3 linked regions of the Oryctolagus cuniculus genome follow. The protein of the gene in region 1 interacts with the protein of each later gene in a pairwise test. Links are inferred from orthologs where the notes say so. Each region holds a gene or a part of one and is shown in the gene's direction. Other genes may lie near its edges.

Region 1 (5,962 bases):
GGAAAGGGGCATAGGAGGGGGTTCTGTGTTCACGCTCAAGAACCGAACAGCACACAAAACACCGAGGGGCTTACTTGCCAAAATCAAGGGGGGTTCTCGCCAAGTCTGACACTTTCTCCTTCAGTCACGTTGGGCGCCAGATGTTGAGGTTGATTTGTTCTGAGAAGAGGAGGAGAACTAGCACGGTGGGGGCAAGAGGCGCAGAGTCACCACACAGACCCCGGGAGCTGGGTGAAAGCCGGCCAGAGGTGAGCAGCATGCAGACTCTTTTATTTCAGTTGGTACAGCAACTTATATAGCCAAGGCATCCAATCCGGTCAAGGGGCGGTCTATGCCCTAACCAATCATAGCCTGTTGCCAGGCAGGCTTTGTTGTCAGCAGCCATCTTGGCATGGCCTTATTCCACGTCTCTCTCTCTCTGCCTCTCCTCTCTGTGTAACTCTTTCAAATAAATAAATAAATCTAAAATAAATAAATAAATAAATAAAAGAACTCCAGAGAACCACTCTATGGGTGCAAATCGCAGCTCCGTCAACTATCAAGGTATGATTTGATAGAATACACATTAACAGCTAACCCATGAACATAGTACAGTTTGGTTAGTTGTCTCAATATTATCCATTATAGTTATTCCAGTTTAGAATAACACCTCACACTTTCCTGTCATGATTCTTAATTCTCCTTTAAACTGGGGCAGTCCCTCAGTTTTCCATTTCACTGACAGTTATTTTGTAGTGTCCCTCGATTTGGATGTATTTGATGCCTATTCATGCGATTTGGACTATGCACGTTTCACAGAGATACCACAGAACATACGTTGTGTCCTTCTAAGTATGCTAAAGTAGCAAGGTAGACATAAGCGTATGTGTGCAAGAGGGGCCAAAGAAAATGGAATTTTTAAAGAAAATGAATTTATGTGCAATGGAATGAGGAGATAAGCTCTGAAAGCAGACCAACAATCACACCTAAAGTAATCACTCTTGTTCAATAACTCCGTTAGATGGGTTTCAGGGCCAGCACCGAGCTCAATAGGCTAATCCTCCACCCAGCGGCGCCGGCACACTGGGTTCTAGTCCCGGTCAGGGCGCCGGATTCTTTCCCGGTTGCCCCTCTTCCAGGCCAGCTCTCTGCTATGACCAGGGAGTGCAGTGGAGGATGGCCCAAGTGCTTGGGCCCTGCACCCCAGGGGAGACCAGGAGAAGCACCTGGCTCCTGGCTTCGGATCAGCGCAGTGCGCTGGCCACAGCGTGCCAGCCATGGCGGCCATTAGAGGGTGAACCAACGGCAAAGGAAGACCTTTCTCTCTGTCTCTCTCACTATCCACTCTGCCTGTCAAAAATAAAAAAATAAAAATAAAAAAAGAGTATGTAGAGATAAAAAAAAAAAAAAAAAAGATGGGTTTCAGCCCTGTCCCTGGGTGCCGCTTAGGGGAATCTCCCCTGCCCTGCACCAACAGGGCTATTAGGTCCAATAATACTGTGCTGGGAGGCTTTTTGGAAACTCCATATCCAGCCAACTCCCCTACCCAGTAATTTCTCATCAGAGGGAGGAGAGGAAGAGAAATAGGTGGATCCACACTTATATCCATAAAAAAATCCAGTTCAAAATGGACTAGACACTCAATTCTTTTCTGAGTCACCTGCCTGGTCTGAGTCTCCCATCTGTGTAGCAGGGACCCAACCACCTCCAGCCATGACCTGCTGCCTCCCAGTCAACATTAGTAGGAAGCCGGAGTCAGGAGTAGTGCCGGGATTCAAACCCACTCTGAAGTGCATGCAGGTGTTCCAAGAGATATCTCATCCACAAGGCGGACACTATTACTGTGTAAATACCCTGCTTCCCTTACTTCGCCATTCATTATTGCTATTCTAAATCCAACATGTTTAGTCATCGGTATTCTGCTGAAAGGAAGAGTTTCTTTCTCTCCAATTATTTGTTCACATATTTACTTTAGTAAAGACTCATGGAGTATTATTCACTTAGTTATACTCTACTACTTTTTTTTTAATAAGTTGTGTCTTTTTAAAAGATTTATTTATTTATTTAATATTTAAAAGGCAGAGTTACACAAAGAGAGAGGAGAGGCAGAGACAGAGGGGTCTTCCATCTGCTGGTTCACTCCCCAATTGGCCGCAATGGCTGGAGCTGCGCCAATCCGAAGCCAGGAGCCAGGAGCTTTCTCTGGGTCCCACGCGCAGATGCAGGGTGCTTTCCGGCAATAACAGAGAGCTGGACTGGAAGTAGAGCAACCGGGTCTCGAACCGGCACCCATATGGGATGCCAGCACTTCCGGCCAGGGCTTTGACCCGCGGCGCCACAGCGTCGCCATCGCCCCCCACCCCCCATCATTCTTATTAGCATCATCCTTACATGCTGGTACAACAAGATGTTCCAGGTTTATCCGATACTTTCCGAAACAACTTTTCCTTCAAGCAGCCCCAACCCCCAGCTCCCCTGAAAAACCGCCTCCTGCCGGCAAGCGGAACCTTAAAGCCCCTCTCCTGGGCCGGAGAACAACGCGGCGGACAAGCCTTTTCCGGTTAGGGCCGGAAGTCCTTCGGAAAGGGGCGGTTCCGTGTCAGGTGATCAGAGTTCGCGTAGGAGGGGTCAGAGGTCCGATCCTAAAGACTGACGGGGCGGTAGGACCGGCCAGTCGCGGACAGACCGACAGCCTGGCACGGCCTTGGAGGCGATAGCTCCGCGGAGGAGGTACGAGAGGGGCTGGGGAAGCTGCAGGGGCCGTCGAGAATGGGGGACGGGGACGGGAGCCCCAATTCTGAGGCTCGCGGGCTGCGACACCCGAACCCGGGGGCCCAAGCCCAAGCCCGGGGTTCTCCGCCGCAGAAGGAAGGTCGGCTGGCGTTGTAGTGTTCCGTCTCCTGATCACAGGGTGGGGAAACTGAGGCCTTGAGAACGGGAATTGCTCCCATGAGTTCTTTCCGGCCCGGGCCGGGAGCGGGGGGCGCACCCTGACCCCTTTCTGCCTCACGCGGGGCCGCCTCTGTCTCTTGTCGGGGTGCGTGGAGCGAGCTGGAGCCGAGGCGGGAAGGCCGAGACCGCGGAGCGTGAGGAACCGCACTGGGCTGAAAGAGACTCGGGTTCGAGTTCTGGGCCAGATGTCTTCGCTGGACTGCGCCTCAGCCTTCTCATTTGTAAAATGGGGGCAGTGTGCCCCCAGATATGGTCCTTAGCACCTTGTGTTTTGAAACCGCCTGGGATGCCGGCTTGACAGTTCCGGACTCGAATCGGACATCTGGCTTGGAGTCTGGGCGGGAACCTGGGGAGCCTAAGGCTTGCGAGTCCTGTCCACACGGCTGTTTGGCGCCGGTTCATTCTCTGCGCCTGGCTGCGCGGAGTGCTGGGTCCTTGTTCCTGGCTTGACAGCAACTGAAGGCAGTTCGGGAACTTTGAACGGACTGGGCGGTTTAACGTGGACAAGAGAGCACTCGCTAGAACAGAGCTGTCTTTAAAAACCGGAGGGGGAAAAAAAAAAGTTAGGGTGAAGTGGGCTTCTGCTTTGTCTTTAAGGCAGAATTAGGAGCGGGCAGTAGGTGGATTCTACAGAAAGATTTTTACTTGGGAGAGTGGTCAGAGATGACCAGCGGTAGAATGGATTGGCTGCAAGGGTTGCAGGGAACATACAGGTGTTGGGCAGAAGTCCCTTCCAAGATCTCTGATTCTGAGTAGTTATTTTGCAGCTTTCTGGTGCTGACTCAGCCCCCGAAGTGTGACTTTTTATTTTATTATTATTATTTGCTCTGCTCTTGACATCCCCCCCTGCAGTAAGTGAGGCCGACACGCCTGCCCTTATGTAATCTCTTCCTGGTTGGCCTGTGCACCATCCTTCTTTTCGAGGACTTTGGAATGACCCAGTATCTGATAGATGTTTGTTATGAATAACTAAACAGGGTCCCACCCCATCCAGTTAGTAGCTTATTTTTTAAGAACAACTTGGAAATGGCACTGAAGACCTTGTATTTGACCAGGAGAAGGCAGTGAGTTTTTGGGTCACAGAGCCGAGGGGCCGAGAGTGGAAAGGTCTCTTCAGGTTGTTTAGGCCAGCCTTCTCCCTGGAATATTCTCCCTCTTTAATTCTCTCTTCAGCATTGTCTATATAGACGTGGATTTTTGCATGGAGGGTAGCTTTAAATTTTTTTTTTTTTAGATTTATTTGTTTATTTGAACTGCAGAATGACAGAGTATGCACGAGCAAGGTCAAGATGTATTTTCCACCCACTGATTTCACTCCCCAAATGGCCACAAGAGTCAGGACTGAGCCAGGCGGAAGCCGCGAGCCAGGAGCTCCATGTAGGTGGCAGGGGCCCAGGCACTTGGGCCACCATCTGTTGCCTTCCCAGGTGCATTAGCAGGGAGCTGGATTGGAAGTGGAGCAGCCAGGACCCAGTGTGAGATGCTGGCGTCTCAAGCAGCGGCTTAGCCCACTGCAGCGCCACGCTGGCCCTATAGGCTGGCTTTCTGTCCAGTAGGTAGAACCATCCTTTTATTGCCCTGACTTGCCATCCCACCTCCCTGTAATCTGCACGTGATGCTTCTCGCTTATTTTTAGTTTTCTAATCAAACATCAGATTTCCTCACCTTGTGGCTTTACCCAACTCCAAGTAGATCACTTTTCCAATGCCTGTTTCGAAACGCTTATGTTGTCTTATGGAGCACAGATTCCATATTATGACCAAATTCTGCTGTTGCTCCCCTCAACCCCCAAACAAAAAGGGTTGAAGTTGAGCCAAAACCTGCCCTTGTTTATCCTTATGTTTGTGTTTCTCAAGATTAAAAAAAAAAAAAAAAAAAGTTGTGAAATGCTGTCTCAGATGTTATCCAGGTGATAGGTACAATACTCTTTTTTTTTTTTTTTTAAAGATTTGTTTACTTATTTGAAAGGCAGAGCTACACAGAGAGAAAGAGAGACAGAGATTGTCCTAGCTGGTTCACTCCCTAAATGGCTGCAGTGGCCAGGGCTGGATCAGGCCAAAGCCAGGAGCTTCATCTGGGTCTTCCACATGGGTGCAGGGGTCCAAGTACTTGGGCTGTCTTCTGCTGCTTTCCCGGGTGTGTTAGCAGGGAGCTGGATTGGAAGTAGAGCAACCGGGACTTGAACTGGTGCCCATATGGGATGCCAGCACTGCAGGCAGCAGCTAATCCACTTTGCCACAATGCCAACTCCAAAATACTCCTTTTTTTTTTTTTTTAAGATTTATTTATTATTTAAAAGTCAGAGTTACACAGAGAAGCATGGGGAGGGAGGGGTCTTTCATCTGCTGGTTCACTCCCTAATTGGCCGCAACAGCCGGAGCTGGGCCGATCCGAAGCCAGGAGCCAGGAGCTTCTTCCAGATCTCCCACGTGGGTAGCAGGGGCCCAAGGACTTGGGTTATCCTCTACTGCTTTCCAGGCCATAGCAGAGAGCTGGATCAGAAGTGGAGCAGCTGGGACTTGAACTGGTGCCCATATGATATGCCAGCACTATAGGTGGCGGCCTTACCTGCTACTCCACAGCGCCAGCCCCCTGAAATACTCTTGATTTGTTGGAGTTTTTAGAACATCTCATTTCCTTTTAGAGAAGTACGTGAATTAGTGTTTTTGTAAGGGTGTTCTTCAGGCTACTGGTCTGAAGGAGTGTTTCTGAATAAAGGGTTCGAAGGCGAAAATAAGTTTGGGGAAAATGACATGACATTCGTATCAGTCGGCTTTAAGTGACTACAGTAAAAACCTGGAGAGAAAACTGCTTAGGAAGGAGAGTTCACTTTGGCTCCTGGTTCTGGAAGTTCACAGTCCAAGACTGAGGCTCTGTTGATTTGGCCTGTGATTAGGCCACTTGGCAGCAGCAGAGCCTTGTGGAGGAAGGATCATGGCAAGCCAGAGAGCAGACAGGCTGTGTCCCACTAGGCTTTACAACCAACCCTCTCTCCAGAGTTACCTTCTCGGGGCTGGCATTGTGGTGCAGT
Region 2 (6,111 bases), on another chromosome or scaffold:
TACAAAGATAGTATGGAGATTCTTATATACTGCTTATTCAGCTTCTAGTACTGTTCACATCTTACATAACTATAGTGCCAAATCAAAGCTAATAAATTAATACCACTACATTATTACTAACTGATACAATTCACTCATACTTCACTAGTTCTGTGCTTTCAGTTCTAGAATCCAATCCAGGATGCCACATTACCATGGGGCTTTTTTCACTTCAAAGGTATCTTGATGATTGTTTTTTATCAACTAATACGTAGTTGTCTATATGGAAGGACTACAGAATGAATTCATAGAAGTGGAACTGTTAAGGATTATGCACCTTTAAAAGTTACCAAACCTCACATCCTCAAAGAAATGACTAAATCCATCTAAATGGCCCACCTGTGATTTGAGTATTTTAAGTTCCTTTAAAGTTCTAAGAGCTGGACTGGGGAATTAATGAGTGGTAAAAATGGAAAATGCTTAAAAAATTTGGATACCTTAATTTGCTTTAAATGTACTGGAACATAGCATTGCATGACTTACATTATGCCAATACTCCACTGTATCGTGACCTACGTACAGTATATAGTTGACTCCTCGTAGGACCGCTAGGGGGCTCTGCTAGAAGGTTGTTTTTTTTTTTTTTTTTTTTTTTTTTTAATCGTCTACGTTAGTCCACTTAGGAAATGTTTTGAGAGGATCCTTGTAACTCTGAACTTCTAAAACTTGAAAGAGATCGTTAACTCTAGCTTTCTTATTTCACAGACGAGGAAACCAAAGCTGGCCAAAAGAGCAGGCAGGGGAGAAAATTGTAATAAGAAAATCTGCTCTTGCTTTTTGGGGCAGGAATTCAAGAAATTCCCTTTTGCCATGTGCCTCTGCCGAACTATTCATGTCCAACGGCTACTTCCTTTTTGGCTGCCACAATTGTCGTTATTTTTGCTAAATTCATGTGGCTGCCGTATTTTTGCAATAGGACATTTTGCTGATTGGGTTATGTGATTACGACCTTTAATCCCCATTCCAAAAGTTCTACTCATAAGAGTCCTTGGTGTCAAAACCGTCTTATTTACTGCAAGCGCTGTCGACCATGTCAAATAGCTTTTCAAACAGAGTATCCACCTCCACCATTTTCCTTTTTTTACACATTCAATATTGATTGAGTGCCTACTAGCGCCAGCCACCTTAGCAGGCTCTAGGCCCCAACACCATCCCTGTAAGGAGCTTCTGTTGGCCAGTGTTCACCTTAATGCGTAGACTTCCACAAGCCTGGCCCAGTGGTTCATCGTCAGCAGCAGCAGCAGAGGCAGGGAGTTTGTTAGGCACCTCCTTAGGCCCAGCCTACATTCTTTTTTTTTTTTTTTTGACAGGCAGAGTGGACAGTGAGAGAGAGAGACAGAGAGAAAGGTCTTCCTTTGCCGTTGGTTCACCCTCCAATGGCCGCCGCGGCCGGCGCGCTGCGGCCGGCGCACCGCGCTGATCCGGTGGCAGGAGCCAGGAGCCAGGTGCTTTTCCTGGTCTCCCATGGGGTGCAGGGCCCAAGTACTTGGGCCATCCTCCACTGCACTCCCTGGCCACAGCAGAGGGCTGGCCTAGAAGAGGGGCAACCGGGACAGAATCCGGCGTCCCGACCGGGACTAGAACCCGGTGTGCCGGCGCCGCAAGGTGGAGGATTAGCCTAGTGAGCCGCGGCGTCGGCCCCAGCCTACATTCTAAAGACGAGGCTCACCAATACGATTAAAAAAAAAAAAGAAGAAAAGAAAAAAACTTCCAGGGGTTTTGATGAACACTCAAGTTTGAAAACCAAGGTTTTAGTTCCACAGATTAGCGGTCAGTATCTGGTTTCTAAACCCACTTCAGATCTTTCCAGGGGAAACCTATCTCAAATAGAAGCAATGGGCTCCAACAATAGCCGCCCTGAGTTTAATGACGGGTAGTCCCTCAGATGATCATTGTTAAGAGTGGCAGTCATGCTCTGCCCTCCTCTCCCCCCCACAAAGAAAAAAACCATAAAAAAAAAAAAAAAACCAGCAAAAAAACCCAAGCCACCGCGGTGGCTTTTCTGGGGCTGTCCTAACCGACCCTGGGCCGACCGGGGCCGCGCTTTCACACAGACTCGGCGGGCACACGCAGCCCGGATCCGGCTGAGTCAGGGCGACGCTCAGGCCGCGTGGGGCCGCAGGAAGCCCTCAGCCGGGCTCGGGCCTCCATGCAGAGGCCAGGGGCCGGCAGCCCCGCCAGTACCACACTGGGGGTCGTCCAAGCGAGGCGCGGGTGGGGGGAAGCAGGGGCGCAGCGGCGAATCCGAGAGGCCGAGGCAGGGATGGCCAGCGCGGAAGCCGCACCCGCCCGGCCCCAGACGCCGGCAGGGCGGAGTCACGCGTCCGCAGCTCCGGCTGAGACGCGCGGCGCGGCGCGGGCTCGTGGCTGAGGCGTATGGGGCTACAACGGGAGCGGCTGCGCCGCCCGGCCGGGTCGGTGTCGTGCGCATGCGCGGGTCCGGCGCCATTTTGGTGGCCGGGCGCGGAGGTGATTCCACAGAGCAGAGCCCGGCGGCCGGGGTGGCAGCGGCGGTGTTCGTGTGCTGGGATCTGAATCTCCGAGGGAGGAGGCGGTGGAGGAAGAGGTGGCGGCGGTGGCGGTGGTCGTAGCGGTGGCGGAGGAGGCGGGTACGAATCAGCTGCGGGCGGAGACATGGCCAACATCGCGGTGCAGCGAATCAAGCGGGAGTTCAAGGAGGTGCTGAAGAGCGAGGAGGTCAGAAATGAACTCCCGGACATTCCCCCACCAAGGCCCAGGGCGGGCGGGCCCTCCCAGCGGCGACCCCGATATCCCCGGTGGCCCTCCCCGCGGCCGCCCTTTTGCCTGTGGGGAAGCGGCCGTCTCCCCCTCCTCCTCCCGCCGCCTTCCCCTCCCTTCTAGGGCCCTGGGGTGGACGGCTCGCGGGCGGGTGGTCTGGGGAGGAGTACGGTTTGGGGGGGGGCGGATGAAGAGGGGTGCACTCCGCGGCGGGGTACGAGCTCTCTCTCCCGAGCCTCGAGGCGGTGGCAGCAGCTGGAAGTGTGGCTGTGGGGTGTGGGAAGGCAGCAAGGCCGGGCCTGAGAAAACCCGGGAAGTGGGTTGGGGGAAGGGGAAAGGTGGTAACTGGATCCGGAGAGCAGCGCTGCTCCAAGGCCCACACTCTGAAGGGTCTTGGGGTTGTTGCCTGTTAGGCCTTTGCTGTCCGTTCCGAAGGCGAGGAGCGATGAGAGCCCTGAGGTGCTGGGGGAAGGAGAAGGACATGCAGAGGTATTCCCTCCTAGTTAGGCGTGGGGAGACAGGAAAGGCATAATGGGATACTAGCTTGTTTGGGGGATGGGATAAAGGAATTTTCACCTGAGATAGGGAATTAATTCCAAATGAGATCTTTATCTCCTTTCCACGTGCCCCCCAGTTCCTAGGCCTCTTTATTGACATCTAGTGCTTTTTAACGGGGCAGAGGCTAGGTAGTGTATTAAAGATATTTACATATTTTTAGCTAAGGAAAAAATAGTGAATGAGTAGCTTATTTGAGAACATTATTTACAGGTTACATATCAGACTGTCTCAAGACAATGCCTCTGTGACTCGTGTTGGGCCATGAAACTCCATTATGATGTCCCTCATGGTTAAAACTTGTGTCTTTTAAAAATAGACCCATTAAAAACAAAGGATTTCACCCTGTTAATACATTGTTGTCTCTTAATTGAGTAGGTTTAACTCAATATACATCTCTTGACATAGCATATTCTTTATTTTTAAATTGTCTTTTTCTGCCGTTGAGTCCTGCAGAATTTAGATGCCTTACTTCTGACCACATTTACTTATGTAAGGTATTTAAAATGTCCTAGTAATTCTGACTCGAAACTCTGCAAGTGTCAGTACAGTTTGTCATAACTACTGAAAATTACTATTTTCGAGATCCACACCCATGTCATTATTGAATATATCATTGCTATTTGTGTCTTTTCTAATTGTTGCTTTGATAATGTCAATAAAGATTTGTGACACTCAGCCTTCCCAGGATGTGATGAGTAATTGACATAGTCTAATAGCACTTAAGCTTTATTTGTGTCATTGAATCTACTGTGATTTCATCTTTCCATACATCAGATGTGGAGAAAATCATTATAAAATTCAAAAATGACAAATACTAGCAGATCTATTGACTATAGTAGTACGTAAGTCATGATCAGCTCTACAGAGCATGTGTATGAACTCTGACCTTTGTGTTCGTTCATATGCCAAAACTCTGAATGGAAGGATGACTTTGTATTTTTTGTGGTACAATGCAGAATAGAGTCATTAATGTCTGGAGAGTGTGCAGTGAAACAGTGGTACTAACTTTCTATTTAGTAATGATAAGAAAGATGTATTCCAGGGTAGTTGATGTATATATTCCTAATGAAGAATTGCGGCTAATATTGTTGCTAACATCCTAAAACATTTCCTTTATAATAAGGGTGTACAAGCCTGAAACTTAATGAACTAATAGTTGTGGTGTTTTTTTTTTTTTTTTGTATTATTTAAAAGTGGTAAGTTACTGCTTCAGGTAATTCACGTGATCTTTTTGCTTTATGTGAGGTGACTTTATCATTGTATTCTTAAGGACTTAAGTTGAGGATTACCAGAAATACTTGTATTACCCTAGAAGTGCATATTGTTAAAATAATCTTTTTTTTTTTTTTTAAATGTAAGGGCTACTAGAGCCTTACTTTTAAAAGTGTCATAGTATTTTAGAGAAAGCAAGCAGGAAATACAAACAAAATTATTTTTAAAGTACCTTTATAAATCTGGAAGGAAACTGCTTCGGAGAAAGTGAGTTGCGAAGAACCTTTAGTTAAGGTCAAGCAGTTTAATCTTGAAATAAATATAACTAATAAACAGCTTTATTTTCATCAATATTTTAGTGGGCCCAGTTATATAAGTAGATTATGTTGATTATTTTCAGCTTATTGAAGGACTGGTGTTCTTTGTAAGGGTATAAATGCAGTATTTTGAATGGCCGATCAGTAATAAGTTATTTCGTCATGTCACGTTATGTGAATCTCTGGTTTACTGAAGTTTATTTCCTGTTCTTGTGTTTACTAAAACTAGTGGTTGATTTAAAGACCCCCCCTTTTTTGGGGAGCCCTTTTGTGTCTTTGTGAAGATAGCTAATGTCACAAGAGGTTATACACAACTATTAGAATATGTATTTGTGCAGGTGAAAGCATCATGAGAAATTGGTAAAAGTAGCTTCTTTTGTGTAGGGGGGTTGGGTGTATAGGGTATGAAGAGATCTGTTCAGACTAAATAAAATACATAAAGGCACCATCTAAGCCTGTTTTCCTTAGGACAGTGTTAGAAATCCATCTTGTAGCTGTTGGAAACTATTTTCTAAAATTGAGTTTTAGGTAATAATTCAAAGTTGTCTGGATTGGTGCATTTTGTAGTTATGAGTTCAGTTGTTGAGATGATTAGGTGAATTGTTGATTGTGATGTTATAAAACCATTCTATTTTATTCAAAAGTTGTATTATTTACCGTCAATTATTACTGGTATTAACAGCTGCCATTTGTAGCCATTTGCTTATACACTGTTGTTAATTCTTAAACACAAATCTTTGAATTTAGATTTCTGAGATGAGAAAATTGAGATCCAGGAGAAGTAAAATTATTTGCGAACATACAGCTTTGGGATTTGGATCTAGGTCTGCTTGTGTTTGTGTTGTACCACATTGTCATGGCTTGTGAAGATAGGCATGCTATTAATTATTTAAAATAATTGAGCTGGGTTTGCATTGCTAGTTAAAGGATTTAAACGCAACCTAATTTGTTAGTTTAAACTCACTGAAATAAGTGTTACCTCTAATTAACGTAAAAGTTTTTAAGCTTTGGAGCTTTTGTGAATTAAAAGCTCTCAATTGAATGCATCTACTCTTGTTTTTATGCTAAATGGTGTCTGTAGTTTTTTCACATTGTAGCTGCATGTTGGTAATGTTTTTAATAGTTTCCTAGAGAATGCTTAAACCTATGGCAGAAACAAATTGATTTCATGAAAAACACTTTTGTATATTTTATTTCAGGGTTAAAACAAACTTTTGTACATTTTATTGTTTTTTATTTTTATTTT
Region 3 (5,904 bases), on another chromosome or scaffold:
CTGTGGCCTTCCCAGCTGCACGCTGGCAGGAAGCGGGAGTCAGAAGCCGATCCAGGACCCTTACAGGCCCCGCGACACGGAATGTGTGTCTTGACCCATGTGCCACACGGCAGCCCCGGGAGGCAGGATGTCGGTGGTCGCTGACAAGTGACCACGTAGGATTAAATTCTGAATTCTCATTTGTGTTGTTTTGAAGGTTTATTTATTTCAAAAGGGAGAAGAGACAGAGAAAGAGGTCTTCCATCCACTGCTTCACTCCCCAGATGGCCACAAAAGCCAGGGCTGGGTCACATGGGTGGCAGGGAGCTGGACGGGAAGTGGAGCAGCCGGGACTTGACCCGGCGCCACGTGGGATGCTGGTGTCAGGTGGGGGCTCCACCCTCCGCGCCACAGCACTGGCAACGCGTCCTTCCAGTCCTCACACTGACTTCTGCACCCCAGATTCACTCGGAGCCCAGACAGCAGTAGTGAGTGATCTGGGCAAGAGGTAGGGTCAGAGACGACCACAGCGAGCACCCGACACCACGCTCCGGGCTGTGCAGCGCGGACGAGCCGCGGCGCTGGGCCTGGGAGGCGCAGACCTGAGCCCGGCTCGGCCTGAGGTGGAGCCGCCCACTGCGCAGGCGCTCCGCGCCCAGAACTCAGGCCAGAGGCCACCGCGTGCGCTCTGCACAGAACCACGCTGAGCCAGGCCGCTTCTCCTCCGGGTTTTATTGACCATCACGGCTCCATCGCTCTCCGCGATCCAGCTCTAAGCGCGGTTCCCGTACCCCTCGCGGTCCGGGTCCCGCGCCCTCGCCCACTCCCTTCCATAGAAGTCTTTCTGCGTTGCTGGTTCCCCACAAACCCGGAACCTGCGACTCCCTCGGGTTCCCACACAAAGAGCTTCTTCCTCCACGTCCTCGCCGGCCCCGCCCACACGGCCGGTCACAGCCGGCTGGCGCGGGATGCGGAGACATTCACAGAGAGGAGACAGACCCCTCCCACCCGCAGCTCACTCCCCAGACACCCGCAACAGCAGGAGCTCCATCTGGGCCTCGCACACGGGCGGCCGGGGGCCAGGTCCTGGGGCCCCCACCTGCCGGCCCTGCAGAGCGCGGTGCGCGGGGGGCAGAGCGGCGCCCGCCCCAGTGCGTCCGTTCCTGCGCACGGCTCCCCGTCGGGTCCTGGGGCGCCCACGCGCGCGGCCGATGGGGGGGGGTCGCCCGGGTCAAGAACGCACAGGACGCCTCCACAGTACTTTTCCAGCTTCTATTGCAAAGTAAACACAAGACACAAGCGGGGACGTCCGTCATGCAAACAGGAGGCCAGGTCCACGCACGGGACGAGTCCGACGTCTTCGGCTCGGGGGTCGCGCTCCCGGGCACGGCGCCGCGGGGCTTCACCGCGCGGCCTCCGCCTCGCTCGCGGCGAGCCGGTCTCTCCTCGCCCGCTGCAGCACCTGCTCCTCCCACAGCGCCTGGTCCACCTGCTCCGCGGTCAGCACCACGGGCAGGTACTTCTCGTCGAACAGCCGCTCGTTGGCCTCGGAGCGCAGCTGCTGCGGCCCGACCACGCGCAGGTGCGCGGGCAGGTGCGCGAACTCCTCGTCGTTGACGTCGCAGTCGCGCATCCGAGCGCCCAGCACCCACCAGCGGCCCACGAAACCCACGTCCAGGACCCGGCCCGGGAAGTCGGCCCAGCGGGGCTGCAGGTAGCGGCAGCGAGCCTGGTAGAGGCTGGCCTGGGGGTCGCAGGGCGCCTCGTACACCAGCGAGCAGAGCCCCAGGTTCACGTGGCGCAGGCGCCCGCGGCCCCGAAGCCACAGCAGCCGCTGCACGAAGCCCTCGGCAGGCCGGCTGCGCGTGGCCGGCGCCAGCAGCAGCAGAGTCCCCGACGCGTCGAGCAGCGCCTCCTCGAATGCCGCCTCGCTGGGCGCCAGCGAGCAGCAAGCCGCCGCGCCGCCCAGCAGCGCCGCCCACGCCGCCGCTCGCCCCGGCCGCGCCCGCGCCGCCGCCGCCGCGTCCCGGCAGGCTTCGGCGTAGTCCCTGAGCAGCGCGCGGGCCCAGGCGCCTGGGAGGAAACACGCGCCATCAGAACCGTCCGGGTACGCTGCGGACACCCCCACCGCCGCCTTCCGCCCCTACTTACCCAGCCGCGCCCACACGCCGGGCTTGGCAGCCGCCGCGTCTCCCGCTTCTCGGCGTCCTCGGGCCCAAAACCTCTTCAGAGCGGTCGCCGCCATCCTCTTCCGGTCTGAGGTCCGTTCTCCGGAAGGAAACACCCGGCATCCGAAATAAAAGCTCCGGGCAGTGCCTTCTGCGCACGCGCCCACGCTACCGGACGTGGCTTCCCGCCGGAAGAGTATAGAGAACAGACCGGCGCCGGATGTTGCTGTCCGGAGCGACCCGGCTCGCTTCGAGGGTGGGCGGGCCGCGCAGGCGCACTTAGTCGCAGCCACGCCGGCCGAGGCAGCAGCAGGTGGGCAGGGCGGGGTCCACCTGTAGGGGCCAGGACGGCGAGTGTCAGCGCCCGTGGGTGCCGTTAGCCACTACGCAGTGCTTGGAGCCGGGGCACAGGCCCCGGGAAGGGAGCTCCGTCCTCAGAGCGGGATGCAGTGAGGACGCCCGGCGACCATGGCAGCGGCCGACGAGCTGGCCTTCCACGGTGAGTGCGGCCCGCGCGTGCCCGGCGCCCCCACTGCGGCCCCTGGCCGGGCAGCTTCCGGCTCAGAGTTAACCAGAATCCCAGACGGTGGTAAACCCTGACCCCGGATCTGAAACCCGACCCCCGCGTGAGACCCACCTCCATCCACCTCCACTCGTGCCCCGGGCCCGTGACGTCCCAGGACCCATCCCAGGACGAACCCTACATTGCAGCCCCGGGTTCGCCTAAGGGGACAGCTCTCTTCCCCGTGCCCCCAGACTGGCTCGGGGAAGACCACCGAGGTGGCCGCGCGGTACACCTGCGTCCCATGCGCCCTCCCCAGAGTTCGAGGAAGCCACCAATCTCCTGGCCGAGACCCCCGATGCCGCCACCACGAGCAAGAGTGACCAAGTGACCCCCCAGGGGCACGTGGCAGTGGCCATGGGCTCGAGCGGCAGCTACGGCGCCGAGGAAGAGGAGGAGGCGGAGGAGGAGGGCGGCGACAAGGCAGCGGTGAGTGGCCCAAGCGTGGCCCAAGCGCTCGTGTCCCCCAGGCTGTCGGGCAGGGACTGACGGTGTCGGGTGCAGCTCCTGCAGGAGAAGCCTCAGCCCGGATTCTGGACCTTCGGCTACTACCAGAGCTTCTTCGACGTGGACACTTGGCAGGTGAGGCTGGGGCTTGTCGCGCGCGGGGCTCAGTCCCGAGCTCTCAGGGCAAGGCCTCGGGCCGGGGAAGGGGGTGCCGGGGCAGCAAGGAGGAGGGGAGGAGTGGGCCAGCCAGGAGGTGATGAGAAACCAAGGCTGCAGAGCTGGGACCTGTTCAGGACGGCAGAGCTGGACAGAGGCGCAAAGGCCTGGGGCGGGGCTCCGGGAGGGAGCGCATCCGGAAGGGCCCAGGGCCTGGGGTGGGGACGCACCTGCTGCGCACGGTGGCGCTGCCCTGGGCAGGTGACAGGACCAGCGCTGAGCCGAGAAAGGGTCTGCAGATAAGCCCGGCCGGAAACCCAGGGGGAGAGCTGAGCTCTGCCAGGCGGGGTGGGGCAGGAGGCTGGCAGCACCTCGCGTCCTGACACGGGACTTGCCCCCAGGTCCTAGACCGCATCAAGGGCTCCCTGCTGCCGCGGCCCGGCCACAACTTCGTCCGGCACCGGCTGCGAAACCGGCCGGATCTCTACGGTGAGTTCGGTGGGTTGTGCGTCCAGCCCGTGTGGGCGGGGCAGGGCCATCCCTCGGAGCTTCCCTTCAGGACGGCAGAGCTGGACAGAGGGGTCACCCACCCGCGGACGCCCCCCACAGGCCCCTTCTGGATCTGCGCCACCCTGGCCTTCGTCCTTGCTGTCACTGGCAACCTGACCCTGGTGCTGGCCCAGCGGAGGGACCCCTCCATCCACTACAGCCCCCAGTTCCACAAAGGTGAGCAGGCTGGCAGGCCCAGCACCCGCAGGGCTGGGGTGCCGTGGGGCGCCGGGCGCGTGACCGCCTCCTCCTCCCCTCCCCCACAGTGACCGTGGCAGGCATCACCATCTACTGCTACGCGTGGCTCGTGCCGCTGGCGCTGTGGGGCTTCCTGCGGTGGCGCAAGGCCGTCCGGGAGCGCGTGGGGCCATACACCTTCCTGGAGACTGTGTGTGTCTACGGCTACTCCCTCTTCGTCTTCATCCCCACGGTGGTGAGAGTGGCCCCCAGAGGGGGTGCCGGGGGGTCTGCGGGGACTGCCTGGCACGGCCGCCGGCTGCCATCTTGTCCCCAGGTCCTGTGGCTCATCCCCGTGCCTTGGCTGCAGTGGATGCTGGGGGCGCTGGCCCTGGCGCTGTCGGCCGCCGGGCTGGTGTTCACCCTCTGGCCCGTGGTCCGGGAGGACAGCAGGCTGGCGGCCGCGGCGCTGCTGTCCACGGTGGTGCTGTTGCACACCCTGCTGGCCATGGGCTGTAAGGTACAGTGGGGCTGACCCGGGCGGGGCCGCGGGGCTGGGAGCCGGCCCGCCAGCCGCGGGGCTAACCCCGGGGGTCTCGGGTCAGCTGTACTTCTTCCAGCCGCTGCCCCCACAGCACGTGGCCGTGCCTCCCCATGCCACAGCTCTGGGCGTGAACACGCTGCTGCCGGCCACACCAGCCCAGGCCACGGCAACCTCTTAGGACCCCCGAGCCCGCAGGTGAGGAGCTGCTCCCGGCCAAGGCGGTGGGGGCCGGCCCCTGCCCCAGGCGAGACGCACAGGGGCTTCCCGGGGCTTCTCTTTCAGGCCGCACCAGGGGCCCCCAGATAGCGACCCAGGCCTCGCGGGACGCCTTGAGGGCCCTCCGCCACGTCCAGACTTTTCTTACAAAGCAAACACTTTTATTTTCTATGCAAAGGTGATTCAGAGAATTTATATAAAGGCGGTAGGGAGGGACAGCCGAGCAGGGAGCTTCCAGCGCAGGGCCAGGGGGGGCCTCGCCCCCGCCCCCGCCGGCCCCGCCCTCCCCCTCCCTGCCTCCCGAGGCCTCGGGCCTGGCTGTGCTCGGGGCCTCGACACGGGGACAAGTACAAGAAAACTGCCTGTGCTGACATCCATGTCCTGCTTGGTTTATTTTTTTCTTTCTTTTCTGTGTCTGGAGGGAGAGGTCCCTTCCCAGGCTGGGAGGGGCCGAAATGCCATCATGGTATAGGGACTGGAACGGCAACACAGGCCTAGGGTTAGCTAGAGGAAGAGGACGGGACGCCCCCCCCAGCCCCGGGGCGCAGCGCCAGGTGTCCGTGCCTGTCCCGGGGCGCTGGGACCTACCCTCCAGGCCACCGGTCTAGCACGGGGCGCGGGGCGGGGCGGGATGGGAGCAGCAGGAGGCGGGGGCTGCGGACGGAGCCTCCAGGCAGCCAGGGTGGGTTGTACATTCAAGTGTGAGGTGAACCCTTGGGTGAGGAGGGGGTCCCAGGGCCTGGCCCCACCCGGCCCTGAGGACCCTGCAGGGCCGCCCCCCCGCCCCGGCACCCCCCCCCCGCGCCCCGCCACTGAGCCTCTGAGTCCGAGGGGGGGACGGGGGCTGCTGGCTGGGCCCGGCCGGCCGGGTTTCTCAGAGGATCTGTGGATTGACACTGGTTCTTTTCGTAAAAAAATAAAATTAAAAAAAGCAGCATGTCACGCCCGTGGTGACCAAGGCCTGGGAGCTGAAGGGGGCCCCGCCCAGCCGGGCCGGGCGGCAGCTGCGCCCGCCTCCCACCCCGACCGGGCGCAGCTGTGGGCCCCGCGGGCCGCGACAGATGTCAAGGCCAGGTCGGGGGGCTGGGAGAGGGGGACGAAGGCGC

What was found.
Region 2: the proteins of RNF185 (region 1) and UBE2K interact in binary tests that used the Homo sapiens proteins (3 or more experiments, as listed by UniProt). The link is inferred for Oryctolagus cuniculus from reciprocal best matches to the Homo sapiens genes RNF185 and UBE2K.
Region 3: the proteins of RNF185 (region 1) and YIPF2 interact in binary tests that used the Homo sapiens proteins (3 or more experiments, as listed by UniProt). The two-hybrid records come from large-scale screens. The link is inferred for Oryctolagus cuniculus from reciprocal best matches to the Homo sapiens genes RNF185 and YIPF2.

What each region holds. Positions count from the first base shown.
Region 1 is NC_091452.1:24,309,794-24,315,755, forward strand, and holds the start of RNF185 (E3 ubiquitin-protein ligase RNF185), read left to right. Parts: upstream 1-2,552; 5' UTR 2,553-2,709; intron 2,710-5,962. UniProt on the Homo sapiens protein: E3 ubiquitin-protein ligase that regulates selective mitochondrial autophagy by mediating 'Lys-63'-linked polyubiquitination of BNIP1.
Region 2 is NC_091433.1:33,547,960-33,554,070, forward strand, and holds the start of UBE2K (ubiquitin-conjugating enzyme E2 K), read left to right. Parts: upstream 1-2,601; 5' UTR 2,602-2,673; coding exon 2,674-2,736; intron 2,737-6,111. UniProt on the Homo sapiens protein: Accepts ubiquitin from the E1 complex and catalyzes its covalent attachment to other proteins. In vitro, in the presence or in the absence of BRCA1-BARD1 E3 ubiquitin-protein ligase complex, catalyzes the synthesis of 'Lys-48'-linked polyubiquitin chains.
Region 3 is NC_091447.1:66,695,502-66,701,405, forward strand, and holds YIPF2 (protein YIPF2), read left to right. Parts: upstream 1-2,394; 5' UTR 2,395-2,615; coding exon 2,616-2,646; intron 2,647-2,968; coding exon 2,969-3,138; intron 3,139-3,213; coding exon 3,214-3,291; intron 3,292-3,713; coding exon 3,714-3,801; intron 3,802-3,921; coding exon 3,922-4,038; intron 4,039-4,127; coding exon 4,128-4,294; intron 4,295-4,375; coding exon 4,376-4,558; intron 4,559-4,643; coding exon 4,644-4,760; 3' UTR 4,761-4,777; intron 4,778-4,864; 3' UTR 4,865-5,334; downstream 5,335-5,904. Other genes in the region: SMARCA4 (transcription activator BRG1), read right to left, coding at 2,131-2,270.